Kluyveromyces lactis: one gene and its partners. The protein of the gene in region 1 binds, or shares a complex with, the protein of each later gene. Links are inferred from orthologs where the notes say so. Each region holds a gene or a part of one and is shown in the gene's direction. Other genes may lie near its edges. The genes, in order: RSM7, RSM18, MRPS8, MRPS12, RSM25, MRP2 and MRPS18.

Region 1 (3,115 bases):
CGAATTCTTCATCCATTTCCTCGTATTCCTCGATGAGCACATCGCCATGGTTATCATATCCACGACCGATGTCATGATCTGTACCATCTTCATTGTCGTCGTCGAAGTCATCATAACCAAAATTTACAGCCACTATAGTTTCAATCTTCGAAATAAACGCCTGCAAAGACTTCTCATCTTCTTTATTCGTGCGGATCCACTCAATAGGTATCAGAGAAACATCTTCCATTGGGTTTGTGTTTGGACACTCTTTGCCCAGCCTGGGTGTCCAATCAGTATTCACCAAGCAACATTTCTCCATGGCCGACACAAACTTTTGCAAACTGTGCACAGGGAAATATTGTAATGGATGGTAAGATAATTCGCATATCCGTTGAATCGTGAACGGATACTTATCTCTTTTTGCAAATTTCACAACAAGGTACCTCGATAGCTCTTTCAATCTGTGTAAAAGGTCTTCCTCTTGGTCCTCGTTATAATTGAAGATCTCCTTCGGTATCGTTATGCTGAAATGTTCAGATAGCTGTGGGATCAATTGCGAAGGCGATATTTCGTTAAACGCGCTTAGATCTTTATCGATAACTATTTTAGTCAAACGGTCGTATAGATGTCTGGATTTTATTCCCATCATATTGACAATGTATCTGATTAATGAGCTGATAGTAGGAAAGGCTGGCAAAAAAAAAAAAATTCTACGGTATAGTAATATTACACTTGGTTAGATCTCCTTGAAATGGCACTAACGAAAGATCGGTGTTCTCGGGGTATTCTAATTAGCACAAATAAGTCCAGTATGAGCGATGCCTTTTTTATTCCAAACTGGCAGATATAGAATAGATAAAAAGGATAGTCTCGGAAAATAATATGAAACAACGGACTTGTAACACCTAGTCCCAATAGACAGTACACGGTTAGCCAATCCCAGCTCAGCCAGCAGCCTTATAAAGTTCGTTCTCTAGTCTGTTGATTGACCGTTCTATCTTTGTAGCTTAGAAACCTACATGTTATTTGAACAAATTTCTTTTATTTATCATTTCACATAATATTGTGCGCATATAACAAATTTCACCAACTTTTCACGTAACGAAATGTGATATTATTTAAAGGATTTCACTTAAGAACGGCAGGAATTTTAACACTTAAGTACGGAAGTTCTAAAGATACTATAGTTACATACCTGAATACAAAATAGATCAACGACATCTTTACTATAATATTAAAGGCTAAGGTGTCTAATAAGGTACAGTCTATATAATATCATTAATTATTCTTGGCAAGCTTGTGCTCAATGCACTGACAGGCAAAACTACCAACGGCACATAGAAACAGATCATTAGTAGTCACGTGTATTTATGCGGGTAACACTGTTCACACTGGCTCATCTCTGAACCTTTGATCAAAAAAATTTACGATTTTCAAACCAAATTCAATATCATCATATTCTGGTGAAGTAAGCTTGAATTTGGATCTAATGAGAGTTACTCTTAGATTGAATAGGTTCTGGTTGTATTGTGTGTGTCCTTGTGTGGTCCTTGTGTACACTGGCATCTATTCAACGGAAATTGTACAGTATGTTGAGAGCAGGAAGGTTTAGTCTGAGTCACGTCCATGCTAACGTTTTGGCAAGAAGTCCACTTGTACATGCTGCCAGTATACCGACCATGCAAACCAGATTCCAAAGTCAATCTGTGAATAATAATGCGTCTACAGGGGAGAAATTAGCTAGCCTTAGCGACGAACAGGTTGATGAATGGTTGAAAGTTATTGGATCGTTAGAAGAAGAGTTTTCGCAACAAGATTATAACCCAGCTACGTCCCTTGCACCAGGTAACCAATCTAGAATTAATATCTTGGAGAAGGCTATGGAATTGAACAAGCCCAGCTTTGAGCCAAGTCAAGAGCAAATAAATGAATGGGAAACGTTGAAGCAAGTTCCCATTCCAAAAAAACAGGATCCAGTTTTACAGCATGTAACGAATATGATTATGAGACACGGGAAAAGAGAAAGAGCTGAGAAGATTCTTTCAAGAGCGTTATATATTGTGTTCTGTCAAACAAGGAAAGACCCGGTAAAAGTTTTGAAAGAATCCTTGGATGTGTTGGCGCCTCTTATGGTTATCAAGACCTTCAAGACTGGTGTCGCAAAGGCCACTGTGGTTCCAGTTCCATTGAATCAAAGACAAAGGTTTAGATTAGCTTGGAAATGGATTGTGGAAAGTTCTGTGAAGAGATCATCGAGCGATTTCTCAGTAAGACTTGGTGAAGAATTGGTATCTGTCTTCAACGGTAATAGTTCAGGTTTCGAAAAGAGAGACTCTATTCATAAGACTGCTATTGCACACAGAGCTTACATTAACCTAAAATGATCAAAGTTCCAACCTCCACTGTATTTACTTGAATAAACCTGTACATATGTATACGTGAAATATAAATGAACGTTATCGATTTTCATAGTTATGCTGAATTTGTTGCTCTATCTTATATGCAATTCCTAGGCCCAGCAGACTTCCCGAAAAATTGGCCAAAATATCGTTTACATCAAAGGACCTTTTTCCTCGTGAGAGGAACTGTTGTGCAAATTCACTGCTCGTACTGGCACATACGCAGCATACAATAAATGCCAATAGATATTTGTTCATGGAAAAAGGTTCGTACGCAGCCAAATTCCTTGATCGTAGTCTTTTGGGGATGAATGCCGGCAACTGTACGGTATCACATTCAAACATCATGGTAAACAGAACGGTTTCAATGCAAAATACTATGCAATGGGCGAGCTTATCATGAGTTGATGTTATTAGCTTTAACCTGGCATCAGTAGTTAATCCGAGGAAGACAACAAAACATACACTCGAGAAAAATGTTACTGCGTATTTATATCTTATCATTTATCAATTTTCATAAAAACTCTCAATAAGAGTTGCATACACTCTACACAATTTCTAAATGAAGTGATAAACTCAACTCTCTCATCGCATTGGAAACCTTAATCCTACATCAATGCTTCACTTCTTTATGCGATCCGAAAGTCATCTTGCACGATTATATAGTTTCATCATCTTTTTGAGATAATTGAATAACGACAAATTGGATCAAATGGTCGAAACCCCTTTCGTGA
Region 2 (2,935 bases), about 100 kb from region 1:
ACTTAATTAAGGCACTTCTGAATATTAACAAACTGTATTAAATTTTGATTCTGAATTGTAACTTCTTTTTTTATTAAGATTATAGGCAATACCAATCTTCCTTTAAACCTCGATAAGTTTATTATTTGCCTGGCTCACGTCCACCAGATAGATGCGGTTCTGCGTGTACTTATCTTTGTCTGTGCCTTGATTTTAGTTCTCTATTTTTTTAATTAATTTCATCAAAATCAAATCGCGCCTCATTAATATTACATTAATGAGACGCGGAAGTATAATATGAGTATAAATAACTATAAATATAATCATTATTAGAATTGATACAATTAATAGAATTATTAACCCCCCCTCGCCATTCCTAGATCTAAAGAGACACAACTTGCTATTTGTAGAAAGAAAGCAGCTGCGCTGTTTGATAGATTTAAAGTTAGAGGTTGTCGATAATGATTAATAAGGATAAAATTGTTGATGGAGTTGTTTTTAAAGACGAAGATGATCCTGAAGAAACAGTTGTTTTTAATTTCCATACTTGGGTAGAAATGCTTAAAGCAATTATCGTTAAGTATGCAAATAAAAAAGAAGATGAGGCTGAATTAATGGTTTTATCGTCTTCATTAGTATGTAAGCCCATTGATAGTTATCTGGCAGTATGTCTTCGTAGCCATGAACTTGAGTATCATTGGGCAATGCTGATAGCTTACGGTGAACAGTTTTGGTTGAAAGGAGTAAGCTCTAAACAACCAGATGATTATTTAATATTGGACGAGAGTTATAGAAAAGACCACAATCTAGCTGAAGAAAGTTTTGTATTTAACGATTAATGGATTGAAAGCTGGAAAAGTAGTAATATTTTCCAGCTTTTTAATTTGTTGTTACGTTTATATGTTAACCTACTTAACCTGAATAACCACCAGAGCGGATAGAACACTGACTGATAATAGATGAATTGATGTTACATTGGAAATCACACCAATATTGATAAAATCCTCGAATTAGTTCAGAATCGCAGTTATTTACTGATTCATTATTCCCATCAGATCCAGCCAAGAATCAAGACCCTGCCGAAAAGCTGGGGTAAACGTTTGATTGTGGCCCACGGCTGGCTATGGGCGATTTCTACGTGCGGCAGCAGCGCGCCAGCGCGCCGCTGATCAAAGATCCATTACTGCTGCAGGTTACCGACAATGAAAGCCAGCTAGCCTCGATGCTGGCACACGAAATCTCACACGTGACCAAGCGCAACGCACCGCTGACCTGGGTAGGCACTCGGCTCCATTTTGCTGGCTATAACCAACCTGACTGCCGGCATAGCAGCGCTCAGCGGTACCGTCGCCGGTACCCAGCAAACGGATCATCAGTTTTGGCCAGGTCAAAGAATAGGAGGCCGATTGCATCGGCCTGTAGGTGCTGGAGCGCGCCGGGTTTGATCCACAGGGATGCCCGACTTCCTGCAAGAGCTTTCCGATCAATCGCGCTACACCTCCAAGGTTGATCTGCGTAAACTGGGTTGACAACAGGAAAAAGGTTGAATGCCTGGCAATGACTTAAGTATCCTTTATTTCAATCTCTTTTTTTTTGAAATTTAGAGATCTTTTCAACATGGAAAATTTTATTCAATAACATGAATATTAAGCAAGCAAGAGAAGGAAAACAACCAAGTCGCTCGGGCCTTTCTACGCCTGTTAACGAGAGATTGAATAAATTAAAACACATCAGAAGAAATGTTTTCCCGCAGCTGCGCAAGATTCTTTTCTACCACAAGATATGTCTGCAACAGTCTTGACCAAAAACTTCTGAAAGAAGGTATGTCGGAAGCTAATAGCAAGCCCACAATCAAGAAGCTAGAATCCAAGTTAATCAAAAACTTTCAGCCGGGCTCCGTTTACAATCCATTTGATTTCTCCTTAGAAAGAATACATTTAGATAAGAAGTTTGGGGTACGTCCTGGATCGTTTGACCCATTCAACAAATTGAAGATCAATCCACTTGATTTATACACCAACCCAGAGTTCTTGTCAAGATTTGTGACATCAACGGGTAAAATATTACACAGAGATGTAACTGGTTTATCGGCTAAGAACCAGCGTCGTCTAACAAAGGCTATTAAGAGATGCCAAGCAATAGGTTTGATGTCTAAGGTTCACAAAGACATATCGGTGCTTCCTCAAAGAACTGCAAACAGAAGCTAATCATGACATGTGATAACTTCTTGTATATATGAATATATGTTTCTCAATAAATAGGATTATATCTGTAAATAGCGCTAACAGTATAAACACGTTGCAATGGAAAGCTCCGGGACTGAATGATAGTACAGTGTTCTCATTTGTCGAATAGTCTATCCGATGGACCGTGCAATCGTATATAAACATCAGTACCCCATCCCCACAATGACTGAATGTCAAGTGTACCATTGAACAACTCTAGGTACGCTTTGCACATTGGAAGTCCGAATCCCATACCTGCAACGTTTTGGACTTCTTGACCAGGTAAAACATAATCGCTCATACCGCTGTCCTTCTCTTCCTTCACCGTTGTGGAAAAAGAATAATCAAAGACTCGGTCTTCTACCTGTGGATCTATACCGCCTCCGAAGTCTCTGATTCTGATCTCAAGTTGATCGTCGTTTTTCACTATTGTTACTTCCACATCTTTGTCAACGTTGTTTTCAATATGTGCTCTCGAGCTGTTCTTAAGCAATTCTTGAAGGACGTATTCTAGATCCGTAGGTATATATGAAAATTTCACATCAGACCCTTCCATAATTTTCACTGGAACGGTCTTATCGTATTTGATAAATGTCAAATCGTTAACAAATTCGTTCGTTCTTGTAACTAAGTCAGATATATGCAAATCTTTATGGATGACGCCAATGACCTCATCGGAAGAAGTCTGTTCCAAGAGCTTCAAATAGTTGGTAGTCAACAACTTCATCAAT
Region 3 (2,644 bases), about 370 kb from region 1:
TATTTACAAAGTTTAATCGAGATAAAGTTGGATGGATTGTTATAGGAAGTCCCCAGATATATGCAAAAGGGTGCCGATGGGGAAAATGGCATGAGGGGTCATTTTAGATGGTCTCAACTTTATCCACGGTTTTAAAGTATTTGGAAACCTGGCCGTCTCCTTCTGAATTTGGTACAATAACTTTGTCGATAACGGAAACCTCATTTTCGAACTTGATCGCATCTTTTATATTGTCTGGGAAGTCAAGTAGATAAACAGTGTCACCCTTTTGACATTTCTCCTTCATATATTTACCTATCAAGACGACAGAGAGACCTGTTGGTAGTTTTTCCATGTACGATTTCCCCTCCTTTTCATATAAATCATTTAAAAGCACATAATATTTATCGTCAGACTTATTTCTGAAGAATTCAATAGCTTCTGAAGGTTTGATAACCTTCGCATCTTCGGGGAATTTCAGTTTCTTGGTTGCAACTCCGGTTTGCACACATCTTAAATTTAAATCATCTTGCTCAAAGATCGAAACTCTTCTTCTTAGACCACTCATCACAGTGTCAAATTCAGAGAATGTGTACGTGTTTTTAGGCTTGTTCTGTTCCAAAGAGTCGACTGCCTTAACAAAAATAGCAGTCCCAACTAAACCAACAAGTAAAATGGTTTTAAAACTTGGTGGTTCTTCAGCTTTATCCATTTTTCCAGACAGCATCCGGCGCATGACCGGAGACTTCAATAATCTTGGTGCAGCGCGTACGAACATATCGGCCTTGATCTTTGTATAGTGCAGCAGATAGCTACTGATGAGATTGGCTATAGGCCTCGTAGTGAAACAAAGAAGCAATCCTAATTAAAATGTCATAACATTCCGGATCTTCTCCAGCAAGCTATATTGAAAGATCTTAAAATGTCATTGACGAAATATTTCCACAGGTTTGATAGAAAAGTGATAAGGTACAAAACAAAAGAGAAGAGGTAAGGAGATTGCCATTATAGGACCCTGGCTTGAGAAGGCGTACAGTTAGAAGATTATATGAAACTGCATCTAGCAGCTTACTTCCAACACTGCTTTCGCTTCATTCTAGGCTGATAAAGACACCGTTGGCTATTTCTTTCCAAACACTGACGGTGTGATGTACGGGTGGGATATGTAGATATTCTAAAAATTTTCTGTTCACCAAAATTTGGGCTATACACATGAGATGAAGGACAACTCTTCAATGATAAACTGTTACCGGGTTGGCCTCTCCAATCAAGGAAAAACGATCCTCATTAAGCTTCCATAACAATTGTGATACACTTTGTCAAGAATGTCATTAGTGAATTTGGGTAATGTTTGCGCGCACTTGCAAAACTGTTCCCGCGCAAGAATTGGTTTGACTTCAATCCCATATACAAAGTTACACTTGAACTTCGCTTATAACTTATACAAGCATGGCTTCTTATCCAGTTTACAACGAGGATCTACTAAGGGCCCAGATGTCACACCGGTAGACGTAACGCCAGATAATATCGCTACTAGAAAACTGTGGTTGGGTTTAAAATACAGGGAAAACAAGCCAGTTATTTCTAGTTGTAGATTGATATCAAAACCAAACTTGAGAATCAGTCTAGATGCACATGATTTGAAGAAACTATGTTCAGGTACCTCCGTCAGATTGATCAAACCTTTGGCTCCTGGTGAATTAATTTTAGTGAAATCTGGGAATGAAATTATGGATATCGATGATGCTATCGCCAAGAAAGTCGGTGGTGAAGTGCTATGCAGAATTAGGTGAATCATCAGTAAAATTCCCAGCAATAAAGACCATTAGTCATATAATCAAAAACAAAGTGCAGAATATTTCATCAACATGTGTGATGGACCATCGAAACTTCCAATATCATCAAAAGGAAATCCACCTCATATTCCATGTATATAGTAACATTCAATCAGTGCGATTTTCCTTTTAGCGACAATCATCAATCGTGTCAAATATCAGTTTTATACATACACTAATATAATTGTATACTTGTACATTATAGCATTATATTTGCCTAAACGAGACAAATGAGACAAATCATAAAAAAATCATAGCTCTGTGGTAATAGTAACAAGGCTGAAACTTACTTAAAATTCCACAACTGGGCCAACACCAACTGATCTCCAATTTGTCATATCGACATTCCAGTTCTTCCACTTAGCTAACATAACAGGGTCTGTCGTTGGATGCTGAATCTGTCTCGATGGCTCGAATTTGGATGGAGAATGTCTATCAAAGGAAGAGAATTCCACAGGGGTTAGTTGTGGTGATTGTGTTGCTCTAAGCTGCTCTACTTCTTGTCTAGACGTAGATAGCTCCTGCTGAGCGGACAGCAATTGTACAGTTTTATCATTGAGTTGAGATTTCATGATGTTTATCTGTTCTTCAAGCTCTTCTATGGAGCTTTCTTGATCTATGTTGACAAACTTCAATTGCTTTACTTGATCTTTTAGCTTTGAAACTTCTTCCTTGAGGTTTATTACTTCATCTTGGCTTTTCTGTTCTTGTATCGTCGAAAGGAAATCTTTCTCTTTATCATCATTCCCGCCAAACAATTCTTCAACTTCATCTGTACTTTTTGCCTCTATTGGTTCTTCCTCTTTTTGTTGAACTGCAAAAGCTTCTTT
Region 4 (2,911 bases), on another chromosome or scaffold:
TGTCAATAATGTTTCCCCATTTGTCAAAGATCATTCTTGCCCCATTTTTTGGCGCTACACCGTCCGTGAGTAGGACTTGCTCCACTTTAGTGTTACATTTTTTGATATACCTCTCATAGTACTCCTTTCTACCTTTGTATATCCTCGACCAGTACTTCCCCCCCACTAAGTCCTGATATTTTTTTAATACAGCGTCAAACTCTTGTCTGATGGGGACCATAGCTGTTATATGATCGTGCAAACCTGAAGCCAGCATCTTAGAGACACGATCTCCTCCATGACCGTCAAATATAGAAATATTCAAAACGTTTCTCTGGGGAGGTAATTCTTTCCAAAGTTTCATCTTAGTAGCGATCGATTTTTTTGAGTTTAACAACGAGCTTTCGGCTATAGTTGTTGGCAACTTCAGAATATTCATAGAATAAGAATCCTCGTTGTATAGTCTATTAATCCTTGAAGTCGCATGCCCGATGAAACCAGGATATTTGTTCAAATGAACCCTTAACATATGAGGTTTTGTTTCTTTCGAAGCAGCATGGCTTGCCGCTGTAGTTTGTAGAGTCGATCTGCCAGCTGTCTTTTGTAGAAGATCAGCTGGCCTTAGGTGAATGAATGACTGGGTTTTACCCATCTCGGGTTGGCTATAATCACAATCGTGTTCAACTTAACACAAATGGTAACACAAGAATTAGCCTCACAATATCTTATAACCGAATACCCCAGACATATAAGAAAGGTTCAAGAATGCCAATTGAAAACACTTCTCTCGTGTGTGGCGGATGCATCAACGAGCCAAAAAAAAGAGCCAAACCCTTGTATATTCACTAGACTTTATTATAACTAGATTTATTTTCCTTTAAAGTGTACCTACTGTTTTTTTTTTTTTTTTTTTTTTTTTTTTTTTCTATACATTCCGCAATAGTGCTTCAACACTACCCTCTTCATATAGGAAACCGTCAAAATCTCACTAGTGTTTCATTACCACATGCTAGCGTGATATGGAGGTGTATATAAGCCATTGCTATCGTTAACTACCGTATATGGGGCTATCTTGACGCATTTTGCCAAATAGTGACGGAACGGCTGTTACTCGGCAGCAGACACCAGGAGAGAAAACTATCTGATCTTATGCACGTGATACAAAAACTAAAAAAATAGACAGTCGCTTTAACACCAGCCTACCTAATTACTCGAGCCCGGAAGTCAAACTACCCCGCAATATTCTATCACGCATAATTCAAGTAGTTGGTTCAAACACCCTATTTACCTGCACCCACCTTACAGCTTGATCGTCCATAATCCAGTATAGTTGTTTGATATTTCAAAATAGGAAATACAACAACTACCTCAGTAAGGACTTTTCTCGTAATTCGGAACCCGCATAGTGCAGCTGGTGTTCCCAACGAAATGAACAAAATCTTTTAGGTTAAAAGATCTCTCAAACCATGCACATTTTCTGAACAATTTCCCGGACATCAGCAACAACACATATTCGATCACATGACTTCCGAATATTTTCAACTATGATTTTTCATCATCAGAAACTGACAAAAAATTATGAAGCAAATGTTGAATTGAAAGAGTTATATCAATCGGTCAGTGAATAAATGTTGGCGTAAGTTCAACTCTGAGTTTGACTTACGTGCACTGGATCTTAAGAAACAATCCTGTCAAAGATACCAATGTTCAAACAGGTTTTCGGATTGAGCAGTAGTCTGACTAGACTATCGTTGCGTAATGTTCGTTCAAGCATAGCATTTGCACCACCACTGCAACAACGTTCTTTCTCATATACTTCACCAATACAAGCCACGTTGAACCAAATAAAGAGAGGGGTCAAGCCTCCTGGCCGTAAGAAGATCACTGAATCCCCAGATTTGGAGGTATGCCCGATTCGTAAAGGAGTTGTGCTAAGAGTGATGGTATTGAAGCCAAAGAAACCTAATTCTGCTCAGAGAAAAGCTTGTAGAGTGAGATTAACCAATGGTAACATTGTTTCTGCATATATCCCAGGCGAAGGCCATAACGCACAAGAGCACAGTATTGTATATGTTCGTGGAGGCCGTTGCCAAGATTTACCTGGTGTGAAATATCATGTTGTCCGTGGTGCCGGTGATTTGGCCGGTGTTGTCAACAGAATCAGCTCCAGATCGAAGTACGGTGTGAAGAAACCAACAAAGGAGTAAGATACCAACAGTATTATATTCTGAATTATCAACATAAAATATATACTTATGTTTATAAACTAGACCTTCATGTAAATATGCGAATAATCTATCTACTGGTTGCTCAATCTTTATGGCCACGTGACCGAAATTTTGTTCGGATGGTTTTTCCATCATAGAAAAGTGCTGAAAATTTAGTTAACAACGATTTCAACGAAAAGGTGCCCCTATTGGAACAAACAGAAAGAAAGATTCATCATCTGCAAGGAATTGGGAAATTTCGAAGAGACTAAACCTGCTCAGTGTTGAGGAAACTTACAAGTTGATATTGTTCCAAGTCAATTGAAGAAAAGCTCATAGACTTGTTCGAAAAAAAAGCCTGGGTGAACACTTGTGAGCCTTCTAATATCAATACATAATAATGTTACACCTTAAACCATACAACCTATTGGTCCAAAAGACATTAACAGAAGCTTTGGAAGCTTACAACAATGGGTCTCCTTTAACTTTGGACAGAATCATCTCCGACTTTGATTATACAACGTTACACATCACCAACGATGGCACTGATAAGTCGAACCTATTAGTTTCCATCAGAACCAAGGCTACGCAATCTTGTAATGAGAGTGGGAACGATTTACAAGGGTTCTTGCAGGCAAAATTCGATGAAGTACCAGGTTTGGCTCTATCATCTGCTAAAAAGGAGGCCGGTTACGATTTTACCATTACTGTTGATCTATCTCAAA
Region 5 (3,148 bases), about 230 kb from region 1:
AGCTCTAGATGAACCTGATTACAGGTTTAAATTTTTTACGAGTGTCATCGTTCCGTCTATTGTGAAATCTACTGGGTACGAGGATGGTATATTATTATACATTCCTGATTATACCGATTTCATCCGTGTTAGAAACTATTTGAAAGAAAAAACTACAATCATATTCGGAGAAATCAACGAGTACTCTAACCAGAAACAATTGACATCCAATAGAGCAAGATTCCAACACGGAAAGGTGAAGGTCTTGTTATACACAGAAAGATTGCACCACTTTAGAAGGTACGAAATAAAAAACGTCAAGAGTGTAATTTTCTACAAGCCTCCGGGAAATCCTGAATTCTATTCTGAAGTTGTTCGCAATATTGGTAAGAACGTATTTTTAGGCAACTGTGATATCAACATTTCAACTGTCAGATGCATATATAGTAAGATGGACGGTCTTTCTCTAGAGAGAGTCGTAGGATCTAAACGCGCGGCAGTATTGGCTCATGGCCAAAACGAAGTGTACGAGTTTAAATAGAGTGGATCAAATATGCCATAAATAATTAGTAAACCGAAAACTTACGCAATCGTTCTCCTTTACTAATAGCTTAGAGTATTAAAATATGTTGCACTTTTCAACTTCTTTGTTTGTTGTAGAATTTTGAAACTCAAAGTCAGATTCAAAGAGTACATATTAATTCTTAATTATTTGATGCAAAGAGACAAGCCCGCAAACGAATCCAATAGCCGCCCGATAATAGATTAAACTAATTTTATACTTAAAATATAATTCTATAGACCTCAGAGCCGGTCAAACTTGCTAATGAGAGCTTTCACCTATAGCAATTGTGACTTATCTTTATCTTTTCCCTTGGGTTTATCAACTGTTGAATTGCGAAACTGCCATGGCAATGCAAGCTAAAGACACATAAGGACTAGCTCTTTCCCCAATTCTCGCAAACTTCCAAAATACTCCTAGTATACCGCTGTCCTTATAACGATCAAGGAGCGATGGTCTTTGTGCATGAATATATGTGCACGAACATATGAACAATAGTATAACTTGTAACAATGATTTAAAATTGAATAGGGCAGACATGTTTTTCAGAAAAGCTAGTGACCGTGAATATTCTGCCGAAGAAAATATCTACTCTGAACCTTTCAAAACAGGAACGAGATGAAACCTAAGGTTCATCAGTTATCATTCCACTGTATTGAAAAGAATAAAGGAACTTACGCTCCCCATACACTTAGCTCTTCGATCTTTAATTTTGGTGAAAAATGTTTACTCTTCACGTGATCTAAAAATTGAATGCTTCTACTTAGAAAAATTTGAAAAATCTGATCGACGATCCAAAATGAAATTATAGTGAAAAGTTGAAAAGTTCACAAATATGCTGTATGAACAGCTCCAGGACAACAAGTATTGGATCGATTGCTTGAACCTGCGAGTTTACTGAGATAGTATAGAGTAAACGGGCCATATAAACGTCAGATATAAAATGAAGGTTCAGCAAGAAGCCGTTAATGTACTAGAACGTACATCCGCCTATTTGAAGTCTGGTATTTTGAAGAAGACTCCAGCTTGGTACAATGTTATAGCGAAGGTACCACCAACAAAGAAGTTTGCTAGAACCCCACAACTGACACATCCTATGAACGGTAAATCTAGAACTGCACTACCTGATTACAGCAATTGGAAGGCCAATTCTTCAGGATTATACAAAACTAGACCAAATTCTTTGGAAAAGAAAGATGGTGCATCGAAGCTATATCAGTCCCCAAAATTAGTATATATCGAGGATAAATTGAGAAAATTGTTCTTCCAGCAACATCCATGGGAACTTTCAAGACCTAAGATTCTTGTTGAGAATACCCTAGAGACTCAAGAATATGACTGGTCTCATATCCAACAACTAGGCAAGCCATTGGATGGCGAATCAGTTGTACAAAGGACGCTTTTCCTATTAAAATCAGGAGAGAAAAAAGAACTCATTGATGCATATGATCAAGCTAGATTCGAGTTCTACCGTCTAAGAATACAACAAGAAATTCAAGATCAAGTTGCTCAAGAAGAAGCCGAAATGTTCGGTTCAGTCTTCCATACCACTTCAATAGAATACGGAATTGCTAAGGAACAAAAGGTCATTGACACATGGAAGAGAAAGGCCTTACAGCAAGCTGAGTTGATGGCTGCCAGAGCAAGTAGTCCTTCTGCTTCCTGGACAAACGAGACCGAAGAAGAACAAAAACCTATTGATCAAGATGTTGAGGAAATTCAACTATGATCTTCCACAATTAAACACAACCAATGAACACTATTCCCGTCAGAACTCTGAGTTTTACTGTCATTATTGTATAAAAATTTCATGTATATATAAGTCACTATAACTATAAAGTTACTCATAGTTAATTCACGAATTGAAAGTACTTTCATGAGCATCACAAAAAGCATAAAAGATCAAACTAAATGGGGTGTCTTTGCATTTGACAAACGTCAGTTGTCACCCTACTACTATTTTTTTATTTCTCCCTCATAAGCTGAAACAAATGAGTTCTCTGTTTCAAATATTTATCGAAGTTAATAAAATCTCGTATCTCTACAATTTTAAAGTTCTTCTTGATCTTTTGGAAGAAATGTTTGTCCGCTTTACGCCTTTTCTTGTATGCCATTAGAATAATTGGCACATTCTCCCCATCAGTTAATTCTAACAGTGTTTTTTCCAATAATGGGAAAGCAGCTTCTAAGTACACACAGTCCGCAGCTAGCACTAAATCAACCGGTTTCTTGACAAATACATCCGGCAAGGGATTCCCCCACCATAACACCTCGGCGTGAACCTTATCATCCAATCCGTTGACTTGAATATTAGATTCCATGAGACCAAGCAGCTGATCAATGTCAGAAATATAAACTTCACGATCTGAATATTCATTCGCTTGATCCATTAGACCAACACAAAGCCCAACTAGACCTGTACCACTACCCAGTTCCAAAACGCTATTGCAATTCCCATCTGGAAACAAATGACTTAGCAAATGTTCCTTGTCGGATTTTTCAAGGATATATTCGCATAGCAGTTCACCTGCTATCCACACTTTACCTCCGCATCCGGATTCACCACCATCTTCATTGATTATAAGAGGACTCGGCAGTTTTCCATTG
Region 6 (2,644 bases), on another chromosome or scaffold:
TGTGCATGCGGCATCTCTTATCTAGCTTTATTTATGGTTTCAGTTTAGATACACAACGTGACATTTTTAGTCACTTAATGTACATATTATATATGTTGCGACTAAGGTGGAAAGTGTATGAACAGTTGCGAACCTTACCCATGCAACTTGGAAGAGAAACCCCCAGCTTGAATCTCTCATCAATTCTCATGACTGTCAAAGCCTAAAGTTTTTGGGCTGATTCACACTATGATAACCGGGAAAAAATGAATCAAAGGTTCTGAAAACATGCGTCCGGACAGATACGAAAAGCAACATAAACCAAAGAGAGAAACTTATATAACTCTGTATGATAGGAGTCAAGTAGCTCATTATTCCAGGATGATTAACATATTGAATCATAGAACATAGCTGACACTAACAAGCAAGGATGTCGTTGTCTAAATTACCTTTCGTAAAGCACAAGAAGAGTTTACCAGATGATGAGCTCATCAAGGTCTTATTTGTAAACCCTAATTCAACCCAAGCAATGACCGATGCCTGTTTAAAGATATTGGCTGGTCATGTAGCTCCAGACACTGTGGTTTACGGGTACACTGCACCATTTGGTAAGGCACCCAATGTGATTGAGGGTCATCTCGATGGTATTCAATCTGCAATTGCCGTTATGGAAGATGCTTACGATGTAATAAACCAAGTCGATTGTGTACTTGTTGGATGTTTTAGCGACCATCCATTGATAAAATCTATCAGGGAAGAATTTGATGATGTTGTGTGCATGGGTATCGTGGAAGCAGCCGTGTACTCATCCAGGATCATTGGATCAAAATTCGGTATTCTTGCATCAATTTACAAGGCTCAGTTAAGAGATGAGGAAACCATAGCAGGTCTTGGCATGTCCACATTTTGCGTTGGATTGTTAAGTTCTGGTATCAAAACCGTATCGGATTTGGTCAAAGTGGAAGAAGCTGAGCTTCATAAAACAATGTCTAAAACTGCCTTGACCTTAGTAGAAGAATATCACGCAGACACCATCATCTTGGGCTGTGCAGGGATGAGCGACTTGAAAAATGCTGTTGCAAACGCTTTACAGCAGAATGGCTATGAAGTGCCAATTATTGACGGAGTGGTATGCGGGATCAACATTGTTTCGGCTGTCTACAGAAGTGGATTACACGGTACATCCAAACAAGGAGCTTATTCAAGTGCTAGAAAGGCAAGAGAACTAAGAGGTGATACAGTTGAAATCAAGAAGTCATGATACTGGGAGTCCATTGGCATGGTGCTGTGTTCATTCCATTCCTTATATAACGTGTATAGTGCCAATATAGTCAGGTGACCTCCATCAAGAACGTTTAACATGATATGAACTTCAAGCTTTGAAAGAGAAAAAAACGAGTTTGGAGCTTCTCCGGAAGATGAAGAATAAAGTTCAAGCATTAGTGGATGCATTCTTTGGTTTTCGGCGTATTCAGTATCTGTGAGACTAATTTCGATAGTTATCCTAGCAATTAGTATATCCAAAGGAAGGCTGTAGATATAAACAACATGGGTGGTTTCAGATTTCCAATCAAGACAAAGCTTCCTTCAACGTATTTGAATGCTAGAGTTATCAGAGACAATTTCAAGAGACAGCAAGTTGCAGACAATGAAGTCACTGTAAAGGCATTGAAATTCATTGCTAGAAATACTACTCTACCTCCAAGGTCGAGAATGGAAGCTCAGTTACAACTTTCTGTGATGCCTAACTATACAAGAATGACACAAATCAAGAACAGATGTATTGAAACGGGACACTCCAGATCTGTTCTGAGTGATTTCAGATTGTGTAGATCGCAATTCAGAGAACTTGCCAGGAAAGGTGATCTACCTGGTGTGAAGAAGGGTGTATGGTAGATGCAGTTTAGCATCTTTTGTTCCCTGATACTGAGGTTAGTAAAAGTTGGAATCTTTCTCTCCCGCATGCATGTAAATATTTTTAATTAACTCAACATATATAAAGCTTGTGTATAGACATTAAAAAATACAAGGTTTAATCAATGTAAAAGAAGCGCTTGGGTTGTGGCAAAGCAAGTGACATTTATAAGATGAGAAAGTGCAGTATAGTGGTGATAATATTTAAGTTTCTTACAAAATAAAAGAGTGTAGGTATATAAAAATAATTTATAGGTAGAAACACACAAAACAGAAGAGAGGTAGAAGAGAAAATGTCAGGGAGGGATGGTCACTTGAAACCAGATGGAAACAAAGAAAAGAACGAGGAGAAAAAATTAGGAAATTCAACGGAAATTAATTGCTGACATTTGTATATTAAAAATTGATCAATTAGAAACAAATGAATATGGTTTGTTCGTCTTCCCTCTTCTTTTTTTTTGGATCTTTACTTCTGCCAATTAACGGTTGTAAACAATTCCCATCGCCTAATAATAATATCCTCAAAGCTCAGTCCTCTGTTTCAAGGTAAATTCAAATGAAGTTGGAGATAAGGGGGTGAAGAGTGGGTTTGGGGCGTGCGTGTCTTTATTTACAAGACGACACACTTCTTTTTTTTGCTAGACTTAGTCTTAGGTTTGCTCTTACCTTGTTTACCGACCAAAGAAGCTCTTGTAGCAGCCTCGAAGACTTCTCTGACACCGTAACCGGTCTTGGCAGAACATTCGATGTA
Region 7 (3,051 bases), about 160 kb from region 1:
AAGACGTTTGAAGGTTTTATGTCTCTATGGCATATTCCTAGTGCATGTAGGTAAAGCATACCTCTAGCAATTTGGTAGGCGTATAGTTTAACGTGCTTCAACGGTAACTCCAAGTTATTCTTCTTATATCGTAAAATTTCGTTTTGTAGCATTTCGGGCAAGCATTCCATCGCCAAATGTTGGTATAATTTATGATCTGTTGGTGAGATATGAGTGTAGAAATATTCCAATTTGACAACATTTGGATGGTCCGCAATTCGTAAAATCTCTAACTCTCTAGATTTATACTCAGTCTGAGCAGGAACCTTCTTAATGGCAAAAGGACCCAACCACTTCTGATTATCCGGTGTTAGGTAAGCTTGCACCACCGTGCCAAATGCACCTTGCCCAATTCGCTTATATTCCTTTACGAGCATTTCTCGCTTGACATTGGATTTATTACTGATGACATCATGAGCCACGTATTCATCTAATCTTTGCATAGACATGGCGAATCGCAATAAGGGGAAAGAAGACAGATAGTAACAGATACAAAAGCGATGCGATATCTATCGAATAAGAAAAAAATTACCACTTTTTGTTCGTTGTATTTCGCTCAAGTCTTCAAATTACAAACTTCAACCGTTATTTTGCAAGCAAACCTTAGAATATAGATATGTTCCTAACGGATGTAACGTGGATGGTTCAGGAAAAAAAGGGAAATATTGAATTGTAATGAATCAATAAAATCTGTATTAAATGAATTGATGAAATGAAATCGCTAATATTAATAAAAGCAACACAACAGGGGGAAAACACTCTTACTCAAGCAAGTCAATTAGTCCCTTGCAACAAGTGATGCAGCAGTGTCTATAATGTTTCTTCGCAGTAAATTCTTCGCGCTGCAATCGCTCGGCAAATTCAACAACTAGAAGTTCCCAGAACTTAAACGTTTGAGCACCCTTAGCAGTGTTGTGTCCGTTATCAGAGACCCTATTTGTTACTTTGAAACAAGGTTCTGGTTTATTTTTTGTTTGTTTTTTCCTAATTTCCTAAAACTAAAATTGATTTTCATATTCGGTTTTCCAAGAATCTGATATCAATATGACTGACTGACTACTGACTGAGTTACACAATTATTGATAAAAGCGATATAAAAGACGTTCTAATTGAGGGAACGTTCCAAACAAAATTTAATTCTAAGATCTCCCAGAGCCAGCTTTTATGAAGTTCGACTCTGAGAGTACTACACTCTCTCTAGATATGAATGCACAAACGAAGTTAAATTGGCATTTATAGCATTAATGAGGAATTACTCAGGTTCAGGTCCTATATCCTCCACCTGAACTTTCTCTTGATTGTAGCATCAAGTTGTAGAAATGGTTTGGGGAATGCGAGGTGATCTTCGCCAGTCTGCATATAATATTTCTATCAAATGTTTACCCCATCGCATCTCGGCACTCTTTATCAACGTGATATCTTCCGCCAGTGGACTGCAGGCACTTCACATTAAAGGCTAATCCTTATACACCGGGTAATGACAAGTTAGTCACGTGTTAATGCAACACCGGGTAATGGTTTATGAGCATATCTTGAAAATGAATTGGGAAAACAGAAGATATTTAGAGTTTGCATTTCATAGAGGAATACTATTCGTCTGAGTATGGAGACCTGCATTCGAGAAAGACACAGGTTGTGGTTAATATAAATCGGCGTCGAAAATACACCACGATGCTGAGAACATTAGTGAGACTGTTCAGCTCAACGGCCAGGACAAACCAAGATGTGGCTTCCATCTTATTTTCATCTGTCAAAGGATCAGAAAAGGCTCCAGTGATGGAAGACACCAATGTTGTCCAACCTAATACTCTTCGTGGTAGCAATAAGAAAGGGAGAGTCGATGAAGCAGTGATAAAATATATATTGAACTGCAGATTCACTAAGAACAATACACATTTCACATACAGTGCCGTAATGGAGGATAGAAACTTTTTGGCGAACAATCCACAATTATCCTACAACGAAAAATATCTATACTATTTGAAACTCCCACAACAGGTCAAATTTCATTTATCTACTGGTCATTTAGGGTTCCGTAAAGCTGCCCGTGGTGAATATGAAGCCTCATTCCAAACAGCAACTAAGTTATTTGAAACTCTTTATCAGAAGAAGCTACTGGATAAGAATATAGAAATTGTTATGAGAGACTTCGGTAAGGGAAGAGATGCTTTCATCAGTGCATTGAACGGTAAGGAAGGAAACCTCATCAGACGTCACATATCTAGAGTAGCCGATGCTACTGAATTGAAATTCGGTGGTGTGAAGGCCCCAAGACCAAGAAGATTGTGATTCGGTCTCTCACCATTTCATCTTTCACTAATAGTCTCTGTGTATAGACATGAATTTGGAAAATAATTCGGTATAATAACAAATAATGCATGTATATAAATTTAACGTAACGCACCAGAATTTTCGTTTAAATACATTAAGACAGCAATTCGAAGTATGATTTCACACAATTATGACATTGCTCATGCCTTATAATCTCTGGATGCTAATTTCATCGAAGATTTAAAATTTTCCGGAAAGTAGCGGGACTGTTTTGTGGATGCACGGATTTGGCTTTAGATTTTTTGTAAAAATTGTTAGGTATTTTAGTATTCCATTTTAGGTAATTAAAATTTCAATTGGAGGTTCTAAAAAAAGGAAAGGCAGAGGAGGCGTTCCGGCTGCCAGGTTCTCACCGTTCTCCTTCTGTCGCTCCGTTCGAGTCTAGTCTTCCCAGCGAGAGGACTCTGATTCTGCCCACTCTCCCCTCTACTCGCACTGACATTCTGAGGTGCGTAGGCAGGAACTGCTGTCCATCCAGCCTATCATCCATTCCTTCCCTGAGCCTGGAGCCATATCCTGTACCTGCAAATCACAGTGCGATTGTGCTACCTGGCCAGGGATACCCTGTTCGTGCTGAATATTCCTTTCGACTACGGACAGTTTCGCTTGCGACCTTGTATCTGTATTGTTTCATCAAAAGTAATATTGAACGTTTTAAAGAATATTTCAATATCATTCGGT

What was found.
Region 2: RSM7 (region 1) and RSM18 share a complex: the UniProt entries of both Schizosaccharomyces pombe proteins name them as parts of the mitochondrial small ribosomal subunit. The link is inferred for Kluyveromyces lactis from reciprocal best matches to the Schizosaccharomyces pombe genes rsm7 and rsm18.
Region 3: RSM7 (region 1) and MRPS8 share a complex: the UniProt entries of both Schizosaccharomyces pombe proteins name them as parts of the mitochondrial small ribosomal subunit. The link is inferred for Kluyveromyces lactis from reciprocal best matches to the Schizosaccharomyces pombe genes rsm7 and mrps8.
Region 4: RSM7 (region 1) and MRPS12 share a complex: the UniProt entries of both Schizosaccharomyces pombe proteins name them as parts of the mitochondrial small ribosomal subunit. The link is inferred for Kluyveromyces lactis from reciprocal best matches to the Schizosaccharomyces pombe genes rsm7 and mrps12.
Region 5: RSM7 (region 1) and RSM25 share a complex: the UniProt entries of both Schizosaccharomyces pombe proteins name them as parts of the mitochondrial small ribosomal subunit. The link is inferred for Kluyveromyces lactis from reciprocal best matches to the Schizosaccharomyces pombe genes rsm7 and rsm25.
Region 6: RSM7 (region 1) and MRP2 share a complex: the UniProt entries of both Schizosaccharomyces pombe proteins name them as parts of the mitochondrial small ribosomal subunit. The link is inferred for Kluyveromyces lactis from reciprocal best matches to the Schizosaccharomyces pombe genes rsm7 and mrp2.
Region 7: RSM7 (region 1) and MRPS18 share a complex: the UniProt entries of both Schizosaccharomyces pombe proteins name them as parts of the mitochondrial small ribosomal subunit. The link is inferred for Kluyveromyces lactis from reciprocal best matches to the Schizosaccharomyces pombe genes rsm7 and mrps18.

The regions. Positions count from the first base shown.
Region 1 is NC_006041.1:511,914-515,028, forward strand, and holds RSM7 (mitochondrial 37S ribosomal protein uS7m), read left to right. Parts: upstream 1-1,571; coding exon 1,572-2,366; downstream 2,367-3,115. Other genes in the region: PSY4 (Psy4p), read right to left, coding at 1-631; KLLA0_E05765g (uncharacterized protein), read right to left, coding at 2,439-2,885. UniProt on the Schizosaccharomyces pombe protein: Component of the mitochondrial ribosome (mitoribosome), a dedicated translation machinery responsible for the synthesis of mitochondrial genome-encoded proteins, including at least some of the essential transmembrane subunits of the mitochondrial respiratory chain.
Region 2 is NC_006041.1:409,065-411,999, reverse strand, and holds RSM18 (mitochondrial 37S ribosomal protein bS18m), read left to right. Parts: upstream 1-1,718; coding exon 1,719-2,186; downstream 2,187-2,935. Other genes in the region: KLLA0_E04599g (uncharacterized protein), read left to right, coding at 441-818; KLLA0_E04577g (uncharacterized protein), read left to right, coding at 1,103-1,489; protein kinase PKP1, read right to left, coding at 2,320-2,935. UniProt on the Schizosaccharomyces pombe protein: Component of the mitochondrial ribosome (mitoribosome), a dedicated translation machinery responsible for the synthesis of mitochondrial genome-encoded proteins, including at least some of the essential transmembrane subunits of the mitochondrial respiratory chain.
Region 3 is NC_006041.1:141,153-143,796, forward strand, and holds MRPS8 (mitochondrial 37S ribosomal protein uS8m), read left to right. Parts: upstream 1-1,304; coding exon 1,305-1,772; downstream 1,773-2,644. Other genes in the region: AIM36 (Aim36p), read right to left, coding at 104-757; BUG1 (Bug1p), read right to left, coding at 2,105-2,644. UniProt on the Schizosaccharomyces pombe protein: Component of the mitochondrial ribosome (mitoribosome), a dedicated translation machinery responsible for the synthesis of mitochondrial genome-encoded proteins, including at least some of the essential transmembrane subunits of the mitochondrial respiratory chain.
Region 4 is NC_006042.1:669,528-672,438, forward strand, and holds MRPS12 (mitochondrial 37S ribosomal protein uS12m), read left to right. Parts: upstream 1-1,682; coding exon 1,683-2,186; downstream 2,187-2,911. Other genes in the region: type 2C protein phosphatase PTC6, read right to left, coding at 1-631; ARC35 (Arc35p), read left to right, coding at 2,587-2,911. UniProt on the Schizosaccharomyces pombe protein: Component of the mitochondrial ribosome (mitoribosome), a dedicated translation machinery responsible for the synthesis of mitochondrial genome-encoded proteins, including at least some of the essential transmembrane subunits of the mitochondrial respiratory chain.
Region 5 is NC_006041.1:743,661-746,808, forward strand, and holds RSM25 (mitochondrial 37S ribosomal protein mS23), read left to right. Parts: upstream 1-1,484; coding exon 1,485-2,270; downstream 2,271-3,148. Other genes in the region: rRNA-binding ribosome biosynthesis protein UTP25, read left to right, coding at 1-520; KSH1 (Ksh1p), read right to left, coding at 863-1,081; EFM6 (putative protein-lysine N-methyltransferase), read right to left, coding at 2,506-3,148. UniProt on the Schizosaccharomyces pombe protein: Component of the mitochondrial ribosome (mitoribosome), a dedicated translation machinery responsible for the synthesis of mitochondrial genome-encoded proteins, including at least some of the essential transmembrane subunits of the mitochondrial respiratory chain.
Region 6 is NC_006038.1:936,983-939,626, reverse strand, and holds MRP2 (mitochondrial 37S ribosomal protein uS14m), read left to right. Parts: upstream 1-1,527; coding exon 1,528-1,875; downstream 1,876-2,644. Other genes in the region: DCG1 (Dcg1p), read left to right, coding at 410-1,240; Rho family GTPase RHO1, read right to left, coding at 2,504-2,644. UniProt on the Schizosaccharomyces pombe protein: Component of the mitochondrial ribosome (mitoribosome), a dedicated translation machinery responsible for the synthesis of mitochondrial genome-encoded proteins, including at least some of the essential transmembrane subunits of the mitochondrial respiratory chain.
Region 7 is NC_006041.1:673,300-676,350, forward strand, and holds MRPS18 (mitochondrial 37S ribosomal protein YmS18), read left to right. Parts: upstream 1-1,710; coding exon 1,711-2,328; downstream 2,329-3,051. Other genes in the region: serine/threonine/tyrosine protein kinase MCK1, read right to left, coding at 1-488. UniProt on the Schizosaccharomyces pombe protein: Component of the mitochondrial ribosome (mitoribosome), a dedicated translation machinery responsible for the synthesis of mitochondrial genome-encoded proteins, including at least some of the essential transmembrane subunits of the mitochondrial respiratory chain.